Linked DNA regions of Oryzias latipes. The protein of the gene in region 1 binds, or shares a complex with, the protein of each later gene. Links are inferred from orthologs where the notes say so. Each region holds a gene or a part of one and is shown in the gene's direction. Other genes may lie near its edges.

What was found.
Region 2: the proteins of rab11a (region 1) and myo5b are in contact, whole or in part, in a crystal structure (PDB 4LX0), measured with the Homo sapiens proteins. The link is inferred for Oryzias latipes from reciprocal best matches to the Homo sapiens genes RAB11A and MYO5B. Residues at the interface, in NP_004654.1 of Homo sapiens: Leu11, Lys13, Arg33, Glu35, Ile44, Gly45, Val46, Glu47, Phe48, Ala49, Thr50, Gln63, Trp65, Glu71, Arg72, Tyr73, Arg74, Ala75, Ile76, Thr77, Ala79, Tyr80, Arg82, Gly83; in NP_001073936.1 of Homo sapiens: Ile1627, Gln1628, Gly1629, Leu1630, Trp1706, Met1710, Arg1713, Tyr1714, Ser1717, Gln1718, Glu1721, Arg1724, Gln1745, Leu1747, Gln1748, Leu1749, Lys1750, Lys1751, Glu1755, Ala1759, Leu1763, Tyr1779, Glu1786.

What each region holds. Positions count from the first base shown.
Region 1 is NC_019861.2:442,598-446,346, forward strand, and holds part of rab11a (ras-related protein Rab-11A), read left to right. Parts: intron 1-3; coding exon 4-197; intron 198-918; coding exon 919-999; intron 1,000-2,480; coding exon 2,481-2,617; 3' UTR 2,618-3,749. UniProt on the Homo sapiens protein: The small GTPases Rab are key regulators of intracellular membrane trafficking, from the formation of transport vesicles to their fusion with membranes.
Region 2 is NC_019870.2:384,211-387,859, reverse strand, and holds part of myo5b (unconventional myosin-Vb), read left to right. Parts: intron 1-118; coding exon 119-275; intron 276-358; coding exon 359-502; intron 503-616; coding exon 617-698; intron 699-907; coding exon 908-1,015; intron 1,016-3,649. UniProt on the Homo sapiens protein: May be involved in vesicular trafficking via its association with the CART complex. The CART complex is necessary for efficient transferrin receptor recycling but not for EGFR degradation.

The sequences.
Region 1 (3,749 bases):
CAGGTACTACCGCGGAGCAGTGGGGGCTCTTCTGGTCTATGACATCGCCAAGCATCTAACCTACGAGAACGTGGAGCGCTGGCTGAAGGAGCTGAGGGACCACGCCGACAGCAACATTGTCATCATGCTGGTGGGCAACAAGAGCGACCTGCGCCACCTGAGGGCCGTTCCTACAGACGAGGCGCGGGCGTTTGCTGGTCAGAGTCCTTCTGTTGGTTCTTTCTTACAGCATGTCACTCTCTGTCCAAAGCTGTAGGTTTCATGGTGACGGAGGTCCATGTGACGGATCAGAGACTTGTACGATAAGTCCAGAAACGTCTTTCGGTTTTAGTTTTGGACTGTATTCAGATGGAGCTTTCCTTCTGATGATAGTCGTCATTCCATCCACAGAAGGTTTGGATTTACCTGCAGATGCTTCTAGAAATGATGTGGGGCATTCAATATAAAGTCACGGCCTCCGTCATCGACCTTGTCCCCAATGCACAGAGATTTCTCTGAACCTTTTGGTGAGAATGGGCTCTGTGGAGGATTGGATTTACGGTTTGACGTGAAGGAACATTGACTCTAAAAAACGTGACAGAGTGGAGAAATTCTCTCCATCTAAACCAGCCTCTGCTTCTACAAACCTACATCTTTGGATCTAAATGACTTCCTCTGTGTTCTTCCAGCTGAATCTTATCTAGTCATTTCTGATTTAGAACTCTTCCTCTGATTCATTCTTAGTCCACTTTTGTCATGAATCAGTGAAAGCAGTAAATACCCGTTTTACCCCAGTGCATTATATCTTGGTTCATAGTGCCTGTGATGTCCATCTGTGGGTTAAATATTTGTTTTCTCTCTATCAACGTTAAAGAGATGCAAACTTTTCCAGAATTCAGGTTGGAGTAAAGCGACTTCCTGTCCTTTTGTGATCCACAGAGAAAAATGGTTTGTCTTTTCTGGAGACCTCCGCTCTGGACTCCACCAACGTGGAGACGGCCTTCCAGACCATCCTGACAGGTTGGTGTGTTTACATCCATCTTCTCTTTGTTCTGCCTGAGGAGGGGGGGCGTGAGCTTCTGGATTGGCTGGAGGACAGACTGCTGATCTCAGGCTTTATTTAGGAGTGAATGGGATCATCCATGGAATATACAGCCTTACTGTGTCCTAAACACTGGAGCGTGCTGTCAGACAGAGGTTCATGTTCAGCAGCAGTAATGTGTGGGAAGGAACTATAGTTACTAAGCACTAAATTGCCCGTATTACCTGTGCATAAACCGCCACCACCGCGAGCCCCCCCCCCCCCGGCATCGCTTCGGGGCGCGGCCCACTATTTGAGAAGCACTGGGTTAATGTAACAGAGTCTCTGTAACTGTGTTTTCATGATTTCCCAATCACAGAGTTCCATTCATTTCTAATCATGTGAATAAACACAAAGCGACTGACGCCATCAGTCCTTCAGAAACACGGCGAGGGATGTGACGGATACTTTGATTTATAGCAGATAAATTCACATCTCTGCCACGGCGCTAGCGCTCATCATCATCTATCAAAGGAGACGTCGGCGTCTTCTTTCCTTAAATGTGGGAGGGGCTACAGATGAAGCCATTCTGGGAAATGGTGGTTGGTGATTTTCCAGAGGAGCTGTGGATCCAACAATTCCACATGACACACTCAACTATTGATGATGTGTGACGCTGTGGGACCTCTGATGGCGCCGCTGTACGGCGCCCAAAGGAGCCAGTGTATCTGGTGGTGGGTCATGTGACGCATGTAATTAGAAAAAAAGTCTTTCCGTTGCAGTTTTACCAATCATGTTTATTTCGTTACACCTTAAAAATCACCTCCTCCAATCGCACAAACTTTGTTTTTGATAAATGAGTTTTGTTGTTTTTGAACTGGCGTGAAGTTATTCTCCAATTTTCCTAATTTCCTTGTCGATGGAAACAGCTAATGGGATTTTTTTTTTCATGCTCTCTCTCACTTGAGCTTGACCTATGACCTATGACACAGGCCTCCCTCATCTTTCTAAGTGGGAGAACAAGTGATTAAAGGGACTTTTCCTGCCCCATTGGACATAAAATCTAAAATTTTGAAATGTTTTGTTTTCTCTGATCTTTCAAAGAGACATATTTCTGAGAATGGCATTTGAGCAAACTGATCATTTCTTTGTCAAAGGTAGAAATTGGGTGGGAAAGAAATGGTCTTTGCAGTGTCAGAGTTCTGTCCTGAAGCAGAAACGGAAGGACCTTCATGATTTGTGGGTCATAATGACCCAATCTTCTGTAGGTGACATTGAGACGACATTAAAATAAAGAATGACAGGTACCACATTTCCATGTCATGGTATCAACTGATCTGGCCTGATGGAGTCTGAACTTCAACATGAAGGCAGAGCGTAGACGGGGTTTTTATGACCTGTGCAGGTGTTGGTAGAAGCTGCTGCTCCTTTCAATGGGTGACATGTGATGTGGGACCTGACTGTGTGTGTTTCCCATCAGAGATTTACCGCATCGTCTCCCAGAAGCAGATGTCGGAGCGCCAGGAGAGCGACATGTCGCCTAGCAACAATGTAGTGAACATCCAGGTGCCGCCCACCGAGAACAAACCAAAGATGCAGTGCTGTCAGAACATCTAACCGGGCCTGGAACCGCTGCCACTCCTCCCCCCTCTTCTCCTTTTCCGTCCGTTCAGCCAAGCCCCCCCCCCACCCTGAGAACTGACTGCCCGGACGCACAGCTCGGCATGACAGGACCCGAACTTTGAGCCCCACCTGCCCCTCCTACCCTTCTCCCCTTCCCACGTATAAAGCAAAGTGTGGGGTCCCCCCCCCCCGAGGGACAGCTGGCGTTTCATACCGTGTTAGTCTGTGTAGGTGCGCTGACATGTCACACAAATGTCTTAAACTCTGAATGTGATTCCTTTCCTGCTTCATCGTTTCTGTCTGCTCTGTACAAAGCCCACGCCATCGTGTCCTTTAGCCCCCCTCCCTCCAGCGTCCAGACAGACTGATGGGAGCCTGTGCGTCTTAGCTGTGACCATGTGACCACTCTGCACTCGGCTCCATCTCCCGAGGAGAGCAGTTTTTTTGTCCACAGAGCGATGTTATGCGGCGGCGGACAGAAACCCCGCCCCTCAGCCGTCCATCTTTGTTCAAACACATTTCCATTTGTTTGAGAAGGCGTCCAGGTAAAGCCACAGACATGTTTGAATCCACGTCATTCCCATCATCAAGCAGCCACAGAGCTTTTCGTAGAAGCACTGAGAAATGTGTCACAGGGTCGATTCCCTTAGCGTGTGGTCATTAGGTCTCTGCTGCCCTGGAACTGTTTTAACATCGCTGAAGAATCAAACAACTTTCAGAGGCGGTTCCTTCCTCTGTTCTGCCATCTTTGGACCTTTCATATAGCCACGCTCACCTTGGCCTAAGCTCCGCCCTCGTCAAATAGCGCCTTCGCACACCGAGCTGCCTCTGACGCAGTGCATGGCTCTCTGTCCGACTGCTGCTTTCCTCATCTGGCCTTTACATCGCCACCACTGACGCAGAACCCGGTCCGGGGGGGATTCCGGTCTCACGGGCGCGGTTGGATGCGGTGTGTTGGATCAGAGACGGCGTCTCTTGAGGGAAGAGCCCGCCCACTCTGCAGCGGGGGGCGGTAGAGGAGGAATTCGGATCTTTTGTCTCCTTATGTTATGTTTGAAACTGTCTTTGATTTTTTTGTTTTTTACAAACTGAATTGTGTAATTGACTGTAATTCCACTGAAACATG
Region 2 (3,649 bases), on another chromosome or scaffold:
ACCTGGCATGAATAAAATGTTGTACTTTTTGGGTCAAGTGTTAACGTGGCTCCATCAGGTGAGTCAGTCGTGTCACCTGAGACTTGCCTGACAATGTTTTTCTGTGGCGCTTTTGTAGAGATGAGCGAAACCAATCGATCATTGTGAGCGGAGAATCCGGCGCCGGTAAGACGGTGTCTGCCAAGTATGCCATGAGGTTCTTCGCCACTGTGGGCGGCTCCTCCACCGACACCAGTGTGGAGGAGAAGGTTCTGGCCTCCAGCCCCATCATGGAGGTGAGGACGCCAGCTCCACCTGCAGGTGGCTGCTTTTGGAAAAACGCCATAAATGTCTCCGTTCCTGACCTTTTTCCCATCAGGCCATTGGAAACGCCAAAACCACGCGGAACGACAACAGCAGCCGCTTTGGGAAGTACATCCAGATCGGCTTCAGCAGACACTACCACATCATCGGTGCCAACATGAGGACTTACCTGCTGGAGAAGTCTCGCGTTGTCTTCCAGGTGAGTCTGTGGCCTGGTTTGTGAGGGGATAACTGCTGATCCCGCAGGGATCCGGGACGGATCCTGAAGGGATCCAGGAGGGATCTCTGCTGAACTCTGTCTTTGGTGTTGCAGGCAGAGGAGGAGAGGAACTATCACATCTTCTACCAGCTCTGTGCCTCGGCCAGTTTGCCGGAGTTCCAAGACCTCGGCCTCAGTGAGTCCTACAGCTGTGGAGATCTCTGCTCTGCTTGTCGGAGGTCCTGACAGAGGTCAGAGGTCAGGCAGAGACAGGATGAGGAGGAAGATGAGAAATAGATTAAGCTCCAAGCCTGTCCTAATACAGAAGCTAAGGTCATACATCGTTGACAGGAACGGTATTGCATCATCTGACCTTCTATTGTCACCCCCACCCCCACCCCCCAGCCAGCGCAGAGGATTTCACCTACACCTCTCTAGGAGAGAACATCTTCATCGAAGGCGTGAACGACGCCGAAGACTTCTGCAAGACCAGAGAGGCCTTCACACTACTAGGTAAGAACAGAGCGTGCACAGCAGGGGGCGCTGTTGCTCACATGTTGGCACTTGTAGGCCACAACAAACAAACGTGGGTCCAAAGAAAAACCAGTAAAAGTCAGAATGTTCAGTCAATCTCCAGACCGTTCAAAGAAAGAAGCCAGAGATCATTGAAGGGAAGTGATCACATGTTGATCTCCATGTTGGATCACTTAAGGAAGCTAAATGGTTTTTTCCTTGTCATTTTTCTATGAATGTTTCTTCTGATGATGAAGCTTCATTAAAGGAATCATTCGTGTCATAAACACTGACTCCGCCCTCTGACCCGCATTTGGTTCCTGCGCTGTGACCTCACGGCTTCATTTACGTTCATACCACCTTAAATCAGATCCAAACGATTTCAATGTAAACTCCATTCTGTCTGAACAGAACTGGTAGGAGTTCGACTGATCCTCAGATGTCAGCCTGTGGGTCTGCAGAGACCCGGGTTGCGGGTTTGGGATGAGACCTGGTTTTCTCGTTCCTGTGGGTCTGCAGAGACCCGGGTTGCGGGTTTGGGATGAGACCTGGTTTTCTCGTTCCTGTGGGTCTGCAGAGACCCGGGTTGCGGGTTTGGGATGAGACCTGGTTTTCTCGTTCCTGTGGGTCTGCAGAGACCCGGGTTGCGGGTTTGGGATGAGACCTGGTTTTTTCTTTCTTGTGGGTCTGTGGAGACCCGGTTTGCGGGTTTGGGATGAGACCCGGTTTTCTCTTTCTTGTGGGTCTGCAGAGACCCGGGTTGCGGGTTTTGGATGAGACCCGGTTTTCTCTTTCTTGTGGGTCTGTGGAGACCCGGTTTGCGGGTTTGGGATGAGACCCGGTTTTCTCTTTCTTGTGGGTCTGCAGAGACCCGGGTTGTGTGTTTTGGATGAGACCCGGTTTTTTCTTGGGTCTGCAGAGACCCGGGTTGCGGGTTTTGGTTGAAACCTGGTTTTCTCGTTCCTGTGGGTCTGCAGAGACCCGGGTTGCGGGTTTGGGATGAGACCTGGTTTTTTCGTTCCTGTGGGTCTGCAGAGACCCGGGTTGCGGGTTTGGGATAAGACCCGTTTTTTTCTTGGGTCTGCAGAGACCCGGGTTGCGGGTTTGGGATGAGACCTGGTTTTCTCGTTCCTGTGGGTCTGCAGAGACCCGGGTTGCGGGTTTGGGATGAGACCTGGTTTTCTCGTTCCTGTGGGTCTGCAGAGACCCGGGTTGCGGGTTTGGGATGAGACCTGGTTTTCTCGTTCCTGTGGGTCTGCAGAGACCCGGGTTGTGTGTTTTGGATGAGACCTGGTTTTCTCGTTCCTGTGGGTCTGCAGAGACCCGGGTTGCGGGTTTGGGATGAGACCTGGTTTTTTCGTTCCTGTGGGTCTGCAGAGACCCGGGTTGCGGGTTTGGGATGAGACCCGTTTTTTTCTTGGGTCTGCAGAGACCCGGGTTGCGGGTTTGGGATGAGACCTGGTTTTCTCGTTCCTGTGGGTCTGCAGAGACCCGGGTTGCGGGTTTGGGATGAAACCTGGTTTTCTCGTTCCTGTGGGTCTGCAGAGACCCGGGTTGCGGGTTTGGGATGAGACCTGGTTTTTTCGTTCCTGTGGGTCTGCAGAGACCCGGGTTGCGGGTTTGGGATGAGACCCGTTTTTTTCTTGGATCTGCAGAGACCCGGGTTGCGGGTTTGGGATGAGACCTGGTTTTCTCGTTCCTGTGGGTCTGCAGAGACCCGGGTTGCGGGTTTGGGATGAAACCTGGTTTTCTCGTTCCTGTGGGTCTGCAGAGACCCGGGTTGCGGGTTTGGGATGAGACCTGGTTTTCTCGTTCCTGTGGGTCTGCAGAGACCCGGGTTGTGTGTTTTGGATGAGACCTGGTTTTCTCTTTCCTGTGGGTCTGCAGAGACCCGGGTTGCGGGTTTGGGATGAGACCTGGTTTTCTCGTTCCTGTGGGTCTGCAGAGACCCGGGTTGCGGGTTTGGGATTAGACCTGGTTTTCTCGTTCCTGTGGGTCTGCAGAGACCCGGGTTGCGGGTTTGGGATGAGACCCGTTTTTTTCTTGGGTCTGCACAGACCCGGGTTGCGGGTTTTGGATGAGACCCGGTTTTCTCTTTCTTGTGGGTCTGCAGAGACCCGGGTTGTGTGTTTTGGATGAGACCCGGTTTTTTCTTGGGTCTGCAGAGACCCGGGTTGCGGGTTTTGGATGAGACCCGGTTTTCTCGTTCCTGTGGGTCTGCAGAGACCCGGGTTGCGGGTTTGGGATGAGACCTGGTTTTCTCGTTCCTGTGGGTCTGCAGAGACCCGGGTTGCGGGTTTGGGATGAGACCTGGTTTTCTCGTTCCTGTGGGTCTGCAGAGACCCGGGTTGCAGGTTTGGGATGAGACCTGGTTTTCTCGTTCCTGTGGGTCTGCAGAGACCCGGGTTGTGTGTTTTGGATGTGACCCGTTTTTTTCTTGGGTCTGCAGAGACCCGGGTTGCGGGTTTGGGATGAGACCTGGTTTTCTCGTTCCTGTGGGTCTGCAGAAACCCGGGTTGTGTGTTTTGGATGAGACCCGTTTTTTTCTTGGGTCTGCAGAGACCTGGGTTGCGGGTTTTGGATGAGACCCGGTTTTCTCGTTCCTGTGGGTCTGCAGAGACCCGGGTTGCGGGT